Linked DNA regions of Ovis aries. The protein of the gene in region 3 interacts with the protein of the main gene of each other region in a pairwise test. Links are inferred from orthologs where the notes say so. Each region holds a gene or a part of one and is shown on either strand. Other genes may lie near its edges.

Region 1 (3,562 bases), on a different chromosome or scaffold from region 3:
ACCCTCCCCCGAGCGTGTCCTGAATGGAGGGCACCCCCACTGACACCAGGGATTTGGGCTTGCGGCCCCCAGAACTGTGAGGTTTAACTTCTGTTAAGTCGCCCAGCTTATGGTAATTTCTGACAGCAGCCACAGGAAACTAACGTCAGCCAGCCTCCTCCTGACCTCAGCTCAGTAACGTCCTCATCTGGACGAAGGACACGATGAATACGATGAATCCCCGCCGCCATCAAAGGGCCCCGGGGAGGAGGGTTACTCCACGCCCCCACCCCCACCCCCAAGTCCTGGGCACCAGGGCTCGGCCACCAGCAGCCCACCATGGGCAGAGGTAACATCACTGCGTTGTACACACAAACATGTGTTCCCAAGGGAGGGCCCGAAGCAGCTGTTCAAAGCACAACCCCGCGAATGGACTGTCACCGAATCACGGGCTTAAAAGTGGTGAAAATGGTAAATTCTGTGCGGGGGTGGGGAGGGAGGAAAATTACTTATCTGCTGTTATTGTGATCACCCCTCCCCAAATGAACGGTGATGTCGCTGGTTCAACGCCCACTTTACTTTAAGCAACAGAAAAATAAATCAGGGCCATGAAAGGCGGAGAGCATTTGGAGTCACAGAAGTAGGCCAGGGGCTGGGGGTACCCAGCGCGGGTCTGGCTGAGGGCCTGGAAATCACAAGGCGGTGGACTCGGAACTCCAGAAACGGTTTAGTCTCCAGATGAACCGGCACCGGTACACTGGAGTCTGGGGGCCTTACTCTCGCCCCCAAGGCTGTTTCTCTGGCTTCACTGCTCTGGGGGGCAGGGCACAGGGCCAGGTCCTTGCAGGAGGAGAGAGGGTGGACGCCTGCCCACCTCAGCCCCAAGTCAGTGGGACTTGAGCCTGGGGTTCTGGAAAGCTGACAGGGTGATGAGCATCTGGGCGGAGTAGTAGGTGGTCATGACCAGCAGGTGGCCATGGGGCACACGGTGGGTGAAGGTGTTCCAGGCCAGCACGGTGTCCGAAAGCACGAACAGCAGGGCGCCCCAGTGGGCACTCCCGCCCCGGGCCAGGCCCCGCCACAGCATGGCGACCAGGACTATGGAGTAAGCCAGCAGGGGCCAGACCATGTGGGGCGGGACGTGAGGATGCAGGAGCCCAAAGTAGAGGCTGGAAACCAGGAGGAGGGGCAGCAGGAGGCCAGGCTTCAGGGGCGTGAGGCCGAAGGCCCGGAGGTAGAACAGGTGGGCCAGGCCGAAGGCAGCCATGCCTGCAGGAGATACGGGGGGCGCCTGGTAAAGCGTGCTGCTCTCTGGCTTCACCCTGTCGCCCTCGCCCCGAGGGAGAGGGCGGACCCCCAGCGCCAGCTCCCACCCTGGCGGTACCGCCCCGTCTCCCAGGGTGGCCTACTCGGCCATCCCTTCTTCTGGCCATTGGCCCCCAAACCGCCTCAGGCGCGCACCGCGTTCCATGCAGCTCTGCTCCGAACCGCCCGCAGAGGGACACCCCAGCTTGCGGTGGCCCCAGTGGCTGCACGCACCCTGGCTCCTGCACCTGCCAGCCCTCTGCCTGCAGGGGCACCTGGCTGGTACTCACGCCCCATTTCAGGCGTTACCTTCCCGGTGAGGCTGGCCTCTGGCAGCGTGCTCGAAACCCTGCACGCTCACGCGGCCTCGGGAACACCGCCCGCACCCATGTGGGAGGCGCTCAGTGGGGGCGGGGGTCTGGGTGCGTCTCCTCACGGCCATGGGCTCCCCAGGGAGTTCTCTTGGGGAGTCATCCCCCCACCACGGCATCCCACCCTCCACCCGCTGGGGGGGCATCCAAGAGGGACAAGGCAACACATCCCGTCACCCGCTCTCACCGTACAGGAAGGCTTCAGGCCAGACGAGGCAGGCGTCCCCCACGGCCGAGCAAAGCAGGGCCCCTTGCAGGAGCGAGCGGTAGCCCCCGCAGGGGAACGCGGTCCCCAGAAACCCCGCCAGGTAGAGGATGGGTAGGATCTTGAGCAGGGCGCTGACCCAGGACGGCTGGTCCGTGGAGTTCTGGACGAGGAGGTAGACGGCACAGGCGAGGAAGAACGGGAGCAGCCCCAGGCCCACGCGCGGCTGTGGGTGCTTTGGAGGTAAGGAGGCCTCTGAGCAGCTGCAACGCAGCCCAACCCCCAGCTCCCGGGACCACTCCCCCTCTAGAGCGCCCCTGGCCCCTGGGCGCTAGGCCCAGCCCTGCCCGGGGACCCCAGCCATGCTGCCCAGGGCAGCGGGCAGACGCACAGGCACCAGGACGTCCAGGCTCACAGAACCTGGCCCACCTCCGCCCCCGATTCTTGCAGGCCACTTGCGTCCCCAGGAGCCCAGGCCCGGTCCCCAACTCTGCGGCGCTCACTTGAGCTGAGAAGCGAGGTTTCCGGGGCAGCCCCTCCTTCCGGGCGTCCATGTCGGCCTGCAGCCCCCACAGTGGCCTGCATGTGGGCACTGCTGGCTTTGAGGGTGGTGGGGATGGCGTGTGGTTACACGTTAACTCAGGAGCGTCCTGTGGACTCTGGGGCTGATAAGAGGCTCAGGGAGATGCTGCCCCGCCCTGGGACAGTCCTGCTTGGCACCGCTGATAGCGCCCGCGCGACCCCAGGGTATCTCACCCTCCACGGCCCCTGCCTCCGGCTTCCTCCTTGCCTAGGGAGCCTGGCCGCCACGCCCCTCCCACCGGCTGCGCCTGGCGGCTCAGAGGGAAGGGGGCGCAGAACTCCAAGGGCCGCTCCTCTATGAGCGAGGGGGAAGGGCCGGCGGCGCTCCCACCCCTCGCGCCCCCCCCACCCCGCCTGGCCGTCCCTCAGGAGCCGGCCCCGCCCCGCCCCCCCCCCCTCCGGGAAGGCCTGCCCAGCAGACAGCGGCACCGGGCAGTGTGCTAGCCCACAGGCGGCTCCAGGGACGGCTCCCCGCGTCCAGCCAGCCACAGCGCACAGCACAGCTGGTCTCCGCCAGAAGCCACGGCCCTGCGTGCCTGGTCTGGCTTGGTTGGCTGCCCCCAATCCTCCAACTCCCACTGCTTCACCAAAGGGAAAGGGCTCTGGGCATGCGGGTGACGGGGCTGAGAAGGGGCCGGCAGGAAGCCCACCACAACACCCGGAGCCTGGAGCCCGTGTTTGTGGACGGGGGGTGGGGTGCGGGGGTGGGGCCAGGGACCAATGAGCGCTCAGCGCCTCCTCCAGGAAACCCTTCCCAGCTGAGCAGAAGTTCCCACCACCAGGCAGCAAGGAGGCCAAGGACTCTAATTCGACGCTCTGAGGGTCCCACCCAGGAGGCCCTGGTGTGGGACCAGCTCAGGCTCCCCGACCCCATGTCCCCGAACTCGATGTCTGAGCAGCACGAGTCTTAAACTGTCCTCCTTTATTTGTTTACGTTTGCGATATGAAACAGAAGCTCAGCACGAACACACGCGCACACTCACGCCCGCCTGGGGAGAGGGGCTGGGACAAGGGCACTTGGCAGCTGGGCTGCACCCAGACCCTCGGGAGGAGGAGTGGGACCCCAGCCAGGTCTCCGCCCGGGCTCGGTGGGAGATGGAGGTCTCGGTGAGTGCGGCAG
Region 2 (3,748 bases), on a different chromosome or scaffold from region 3:
TGGCTTTCCTAGCAGAAAGCCAGGGCAAAAGGCCCTTGAAGCTGAGCAGACCTTTCAATCTGCCTGGTTCTCCTCTGGCTCTGCCAGGCCGAGGTGAGGAGTGGGGTGGGGCAGGGTGCATATGGTCATTTTAGTCAGTGTCTCTAGGAAAAGTAAGTGAATGTGCTGGTTTTCATCTGCTTTCTTTTTAGCTCCTGGCACTCTTGCAGTCTTCTTGCCATCATGATGAGATTCAGTTAGTCTTCAAGCGTTTTGTAAAAACCTGGACCCCTGCTCTGCCTCCACACTTTTTGCCTGGGCTGCACTCACACTGTGAGCCAGCCAAAACTACACTGCTCAGCAAACAGCCACCTTTGGAGGGAAGCATCATAGTCTGGTTACCAGGGTAACAGCCACTGTTCTCAGACATCAGGCTTTGCAAGAGCCAATATTTTGCTGTTCAGTAATGGCATTGTGTTGCTAAGCAGAGAATAATCAGCTACTGCTCTTTGGCTCTTTTCCAGTTCCATTGTTATCCGAAGGACTCGTTTGGAACATCCCTCTCCCAAATCAGGAAAAGGTTTAATGAACTACCATGTCGCTTGTAAATCTTTTGTGTGAACACTACAGAATTCCCTGTTCCTCCTCATTTCCGATCCTACTTGATTCTTTGTGGTGGAGGTAGTGAGCTTCCTGTTCCTGGGGATGATGAAGAAGAAGCTGTAGGAACATTGGAGAAGGGAATTCTGCACTGAGAATTAGCTCAGACAGCTTCTAAAGTTCCTTCCAGTCCAATCCCAGATTCTATGATATAATTTGTCTAGTGCAAGAGTTAGACAGCAACACACTCCCTGTCAGAAGCAGTAGTAGTCCAGTACCTTGCTAGAGATGGTCTATACTTACAAAGTATTTGAAATATCAATACTTTGCTATTGCATAACTGAGAACATAATGGCTACTCCATCATGCGCACCTAGCCCAAGTATGGCTCACCCTCAGAATAAGAGATCCCATACACAGCTTCGGCTGTGCCCTCATCTGCAATAATCTTCCCTGGAGAAAATCATTCAGCCTCTGTAACAGGAAAATGTCCCTATGGTCACCTGATTTTTCCTGTCTTTTCCTCAGGGCTTTTACTCCCTGAGGAAGTAGTATTCAGCATCCTTCCTTACTCCCTCTCTGTTTTTCATTCACAACCTACCCAATCAGCTGCCCTGACTTCAGGTAAGGTTCTTGACATTACCTAGGACAGGAATTGAGTTCTTGCAATATTCACCTCTCATCTGGCCCCACTTGACTGGAAAATTCTTACCCAAGTGCACAAAGTACATGCAAAGAAAGCTCAGTCACTTCAGGAAGAATAAGAGACAGCCTGTACATGCATCATTGTATAATAATTAGTATTATTATTATTTACAACTGTTACAGAGTTTGCCCATTTTCAAAGGACTCCGACATATTATTTTTTATTTTTATAACTCTGAGATTAGACAAAGCAATTATCATTATCCCTATTTTCCAGATGATGAAGTAATAATTCATAGCAACCTACCCAATGTCACGAAGTTCATAAGTAGCAGATCTGGGATTCGCACCTCATTATGTTCACTTCTAGTCCAGTGCTCATGCCTTAATTATCCTGCCTGAATACACGCCTCAAGAGCTCTCTCAGTGTTTCAGGATGAAACAACCTAAAAACTGACACTAGCCTAATATAATTGAAAACCCATCTCTGTAGATGCTTTTGGAACCTTCTGGGTAATACATTTGATGGTGAATACACAGGACAGTTGATTCTCATTTCATTTAGGACACATTCAAGCTGTTGCTCTTGTTTTGGCAAATGTGAGCAATGTCTACATGGTTCTGTGGCCTCCTGTATGGACAAAAATCCTTGTGCTCTGTACATCTTGCACTGAGCGGACCCTACAAGAGACCAGACCATGTAGCTTCTCTCTACAGAGATGCCCTCAGGACTCAATCAAGTCAGCAAGAGCCCTAAGGTCCCTCCTTGTCATAGCAGGGATTTAAAATCTGAGTCATGCCCTCAGGAAAGCTTAGTCTGTAATATTTACTAGATATGGTAACCCAAATGGGTGCATGCGTGCACACACACACACACAGCCCTACCCATATCTCTTCCTTATGGTAAAGCCATTGAGGACTTTATTTTCATTTCCTGAACTTGACATCGGCCTCCTCAGCCATGACGAAGCCTGAATCTATGACGCCCAATTTCATTCTGATGCCCCACAGGGTCCAAATTTTGTTTCAAGCAAGCAGTCATTTTGTACAGCTGAGAGCCAGCCAGCATGAGTTGCCTCCAGCAGAACCAAGGATGTCAGCTGACCAGGCCATTACCAGGACATGGGGATCAGGGGAAAAGAGAAGGCAGAGGGAAGCAAGGGGGTAGGAGGACACATGACCACATCCAGCCCTGCAGACACTCTCTCCAACGACCTGTGGGACTCCCCATGTGTTGCTGGAGTTCTGTGGCAATAAAGCATCATTCTCAGTACAGCAGAGAAGGAGTTAATCGAATTGCGTGCTAAGGAATGAAAAAGAAAACAAGTGCCAGAACACAATTCATTTCAACCATTAGAAACTCTGAACCCCAAAGTTCTTGCAAATTCCTATGCTCTGGCTTTGAATCTTCCAATCTAAAGTTTTTGAAACTCACCCATGTCTTTGGGACTCTGACTCCAATGGTAGCCGGCTGGCTAGTCTGTTTGTTCAGCTGGAAGGATCCTGGTCTCTCCAGTCTCCTTCTTCGGTCCTTTACTTTTTCTCTCTGAGTATCTTTGTCCTCTTCTCCTGCAATGAAAAGGGCTTTCTGATTGACAGCCAACCCCCTTAAAGGGACAGGCCCACTTTCCTCCTCCTCTCCTCCTCCCCTTCTCCTCCCCTTGTCCCCACCTCCTCAGGATACTCCCTTCTCTAAGACCTCCATCTTCTCTTTCTGCTTTTCAGTGCCAATTGTCTCTTTTTCTTTTTTTCTTTTCCCCCCTCCCCTAAGGCTTGCCTATGTGGAATTTCGCTTTGCTGTAGAGACATCTGGAAATGTGGTTTGGGGGTGGAAATAAAAGAAAGAGGTCCTGCAATCCAACTGATCCTTGGGTCTATTTTGGTATGAGATGTGGCAGCATAAGTGTCGGAGGCCATAAAGGTGTTAGCCCTGGTGAGGCAGTCAGGGTCAAAAGCCTAGATGTGACCTCCTAGTCCTTCTAACTCTGCCCCAACACCACCCCTCACGCCTAGCTGCCCTTGACCCTACCCGCCTTTACCCTCCCCCCACCACTCTTTAGAAAATAATTGCTTCTCCCAACTCTTCCCATTCCAGTTTTAGAAACACAATAGAGAAAAAAATTGTCTTTTAAAAATAATTTCCTCCAAATCCTTCCTGGTTTCAACTGAATGAGGACAAAACACAAGCTGTTGATTCCTCGAACAGATTTTGACCAAGCTGGAGAAAGCTAGAATTGTAATCATTTTATAGACAGGGTAACGGAGACCCAGGGAGGGGGCAAGCAGACACGCTGTGCAGGTTCATGGAACAGGCTAAAAGAAAGGCGAGAGTTGGGGATGTGGGTGATCTCCATGGAAGGTAACTGACTTTGACAGAACACAATCTGGGAATTAGATAGTCACTACCCCACCCTCAGAAGAGAGTGTCATGAGAGAGCTGTATCCAGATGAGAGGCAAGGAGTGGGTTGTGGTAAAGCCATGGTTGTCAGTGAGGGTGGAGGGAAGGGGAAAGAATTATGGTCC
Region 3 (3,648 bases):
TTATAGACATGATTTCTATTTTTTCTTGTTAAAAATTACCGGGCAGGGAATTCTTTGGTCCACTGCTGCTAAGTTGCTTCAGTCGTATCCGACTCTGTACGACCCCATAGACGGCAGCCCATCAGGCTCCTCTGTCCCTGGGATTCTCCAGGCAAGAATACTGGAGTGGGTTGCCAATTCCTTCTCTAATGCATGCATGCATGCTAAGTTGCTTCAGTCGTGTCAGACTCTGTGCGACCCCACGGACAGCAGCTCACCAGGCTCCTCTGTCCACAGGATTCTCCAGCAAGAATACTGGAGTGGGTTGCCAGTTCCTTCTCTTCCTTGGTCCACTAGTTTGGACCAATACTTTCACTGCCAGCGGCAGTGGCCTAGATTTAGATTTGATCCCTAGTTGGAGAACTATGATCCTACAAGCAGTAACGGGAGGCAAATCAAATCAATCAAATCCCATCAATACGATCCATTCATAATCCGATCTAATCGATCTGAATTAATCCCATCAATAAATCAAGTAAATCCAGGCAATGCTACTGCACAATTAGTGTAACACAGTATGTTGCCAATATAACTTTCATATGCACTGAAAGCCAAAAAATTCATGTGACTTTTTATTAAGACATCTGCTCTACTGCAGTGGCCTGAAAGCAAACCCACAGTGTCTCTGAGGTATGCCTGTTTCCAATTCCAACCTACTCTAGCCCTCCTATCTCACCTGAGGGGGAGGGGAAAAAACTCAGAAACTGGCTCGAAGTTCACAGCCCAGAGGCAGAAGCTCACTGAAGACTGAGATCTAACCACAGGGTCCCAGAGAGCTTCCCCCCTCCCCACAGCCCACCACCACCTCACTAAACACTGATTTACAACAGTCCCTGTTATTCAGTCAAATCAAATCAATCCGATCCCATTCCATCAAATCAATCAAAATAAATCAAATCAAATAAGGAAATAAAATCTTATCAAATCAAATAAAACACGTGTGTGGATGACCCTTGAAAATGCTGTGCTAAGTGACAGAAGCCAGCCACAAGCCACGGCTCAGGGCGTGACTCCACTTACATGCAGACCCTCCCAGGAAGATGCAGGGAGACAGGAAGCAGATTAGCTGGGGGTGAGGATGGCTGGGGAGTGGGAGCAGACGGGAAGTCACTGTTAACTGTTATACAGTGTTTCTTCTGGGGATGTGAACAATGCTCTAACTTTAGACTGTGATGCTGGCTGTACAATTCTGTGAACATACCAACCACTGAACTGTGTACCTTTAAATGGATAAATTTTTCGTATATATCTCAATAAAGCTGCAAAAATTATTTATGGAAAGCAAAGCAAGATATAACCCAGGGCTGCTCTGGTGGTACAGTGGTTATTAAGAATCCGCCTGCAACGCAGGGGACATGGGTTCAATCCCTGGTCTGGGAAAATTCTGCAGCCACAGAGCAACTGGGCCCCTGCTCCACAGCTGTGAGCCTGCACGCCCTGGGGCTTGTGCTCGGTAATAAGAACACACCCCAGTGAAGAGCACGCCCTCTCACCATAACTAGAGACAGCCTGTGTGCAGCCACGAAGACCCAGCAGAGCCAAAAGCAAAATAAAAATAATTTTTTAAAAAGAAATAACCCACATGCTCCCCTCCATAAATAAGGGAAAGACTGAGTAAATCTTCGTTTGATATACGCATTTTTAAAGTTTACGATTCAATGTTAAGCACAAAGTCTGTAGCCACAGCATCACAGGCACACTGCTGCGACCGCCATCGACAATATATGCGTGAGCAGGAAGGCAGCACACTGGCAGCTCTCTCTCTAACGTTGTTAATATAAAGCAACAAATCACACTGAACGGAAAGTACCTTAACATGACTGATTAGTCCAATACTTAACACCAGAAAAGGGTCCATCTCATCTGCTGGGTATATTGTGGAAACTTATTAATATAAACAGATGCCCCAGGAAAGGAAAAGGTACCTTCTAGTTTCACCACTATAATCCTAGACCCAAGAAGTTATGTAATGCTGTGAACACTTGACTATAAAAAAACAAATGAAGCCACACCAAACAGAGCCACTAATTAACTAGGAAATAAGAATAAAGAGACCTTCAGAAATTTCTTTGTCCAGGGATTTGAGCTCTTCTTCAATTTCAGTTTTAACTTTTAATAAAACTTCTTGATCCAGAGATTGTGAAACTGTATCTTGCTGAACCCCTGAAAACAACAAGAAAGGTTACTATCGAAAGACAGAAACATTAGAACATGGATAGGATGTTTAAGCAATAAGTCAGAAAGTACAAAATCAAAACTCATTATCATGCCCAAGGGCTAGGAGAATCTTAAAAATGAGGAGGCTGAGGCCAGGCAGGTTGCACCGCTAGCCCACCCCTGGAGGAGCCGTGACTGGAGCTCAGGCCTCAGGCCAGCGTGGACAGAACCACCAATTCAATTCAGCCTGTGTCCTCGGCTTCCGGTTGGGCTGCTAGGAAGAAGTCTGCTCAGAAACATTGCTGACATAACAGAGAAGAAAACCTGAAAGGCTATCATGTTCCCTTACCTTCATATCTTCATGCAAACTGCATTCCAAGAGAAGGCCTATGATCAACAAAGCATGTGTATCTTCCAACTTAGGGAAACCAGGAGCATAACCCAGTGGGAGGCAAAAGCTACCCTCCTGCAGTAGAAGGCCAGGAAGGGCCTGCTCTGTAGCATGGAAAGGAGAACAAAGGGACAGCGAACCAAAATAAAACTCGGACCCTCAAGAGGGTTTTTGTCGTGGAAAATATAAAATTCCTTAGGTATTTCTACCACAAATGCAACAGAAAGGATCCCCTCATGGTCATGGTTAATATTTATCTGATTAAATGACATTTGATTTAACATTTCTGCCTATGTAAATAGCTGAAACTACATAAATAAAAATTTTAAAACATTACCTACAACAATATGCTACTAAGCAACCAATGGACCACTGAAGAAATCAAAATGGAAATCAAAAATACCTGGAGACAAATGGAAACACAACCACCCCAAATCCATGGATTAAAGATTTATAAGACCTGAAACCATAAAATTCTAGAAGAAAACAGGCAGTATGCACTTTGACATGGATCTCAGCATAATTTTTTTGGCTATGTCTCCTCAGGCAAGGGAACAAAAACAAAAATGAACAAACGGGGCTACATCAAACTAAAAAGCCTTTGCATAGTGAAGAAAACCATGTGCAAAGCATAAAGTCAGCCTAATGAATAGAAGATATTTGCGAACAATAATATCTGGCATATATAAAGAACACATACAGCTGGACATTAAAAAAACCCCAAAACAGAAAAGCCTCAATTTAAATTGGGCAGAGGACCTCAATAGGTATTTACAAAGAAGACACAAAGATGCCACCAGGCACACATTAGTGTTCAACATGACTAATTACCCGGAAAATGCAAATCAGAGCCACACTGAGATTATCACCTCGCACCTGTCAAAATGGCTATTACTAAAGAGGCAGTAAATAACAAAGACTGGCAAGGTAGCAGACTGTCGATGAAAACGGAGATGATACACGTGGCTGTGACTGATACAGTCAATATGAAACCAATACGGAGGTTCCTCAGAAAGTTAAAAACAGACCACCATAGTATCCAGCAATTCCACTTCTAGATA

Evidence for each region. The genes of interacting proteins can lie anywhere in the genome.
Region 1: the proteins of BCL2L13 (region 3) and TMEM86B interact in binary tests that used the Homo sapiens proteins (3 or more experiments, as listed by UniProt). The two-hybrid records come from large-scale screens. The link is inferred for Ovis aries from reciprocal best matches to the Homo sapiens genes BCL2L13 and TMEM86B.
Region 2: the proteins of BCL2L13 (region 3) and PLP1 interact in binary tests that used the Homo sapiens proteins (3 or more experiments, as listed by UniProt). The two-hybrid records come from large-scale screens. The link is inferred for Ovis aries from reciprocal best matches to the Homo sapiens genes BCL2L13 and PLP1.

Annotation. Positions count from the first base shown.
Region 1 is NC_056067.1:63,010,442-63,014,003, reverse strand, and holds TMEM86B (lysoplasmalogenase TMEM86B), read right to left. Parts: upstream 2,437-3,562; 5' UTR 2,415-2,436; coding exon 2,364-2,414; intron 2,096-2,363; coding exon 1,843-2,095; intron 1,249-1,842; coding exon 866-1,248; 3' UTR 538-865; downstream 1-537. UniProt on the Homo sapiens protein: Catalyzes the hydrolysis of the vinyl ether bond of choline or ethanolamine lysoplasmalogens, forming fatty aldehyde and glycerophosphocholine or glycerophosphoethanolamine, respectively and is specific for the sn-2-deacylated (lyso) form of plasmalogen.
Region 2 is NC_056080.1:129,376,568-129,380,315, reverse strand, and holds the start of PLP1 (myelin proteolipid protein), read right to left. Parts: upstream 2,773-3,748; 5' UTR 2,664-2,772; coding exon 2,660-2,663; intron 1-2,659.
Region 3 is NC_056056.1:214,941,185-214,944,832, reverse strand, and holds part of BCL2L13 (bcl-2-like protein 13), read right to left. Parts: intron 2,203-3,648; coding exon 2,095-2,202; intron 1-2,094. UniProt on the Homo sapiens protein: May promote the activation of caspase-3 and apoptosis.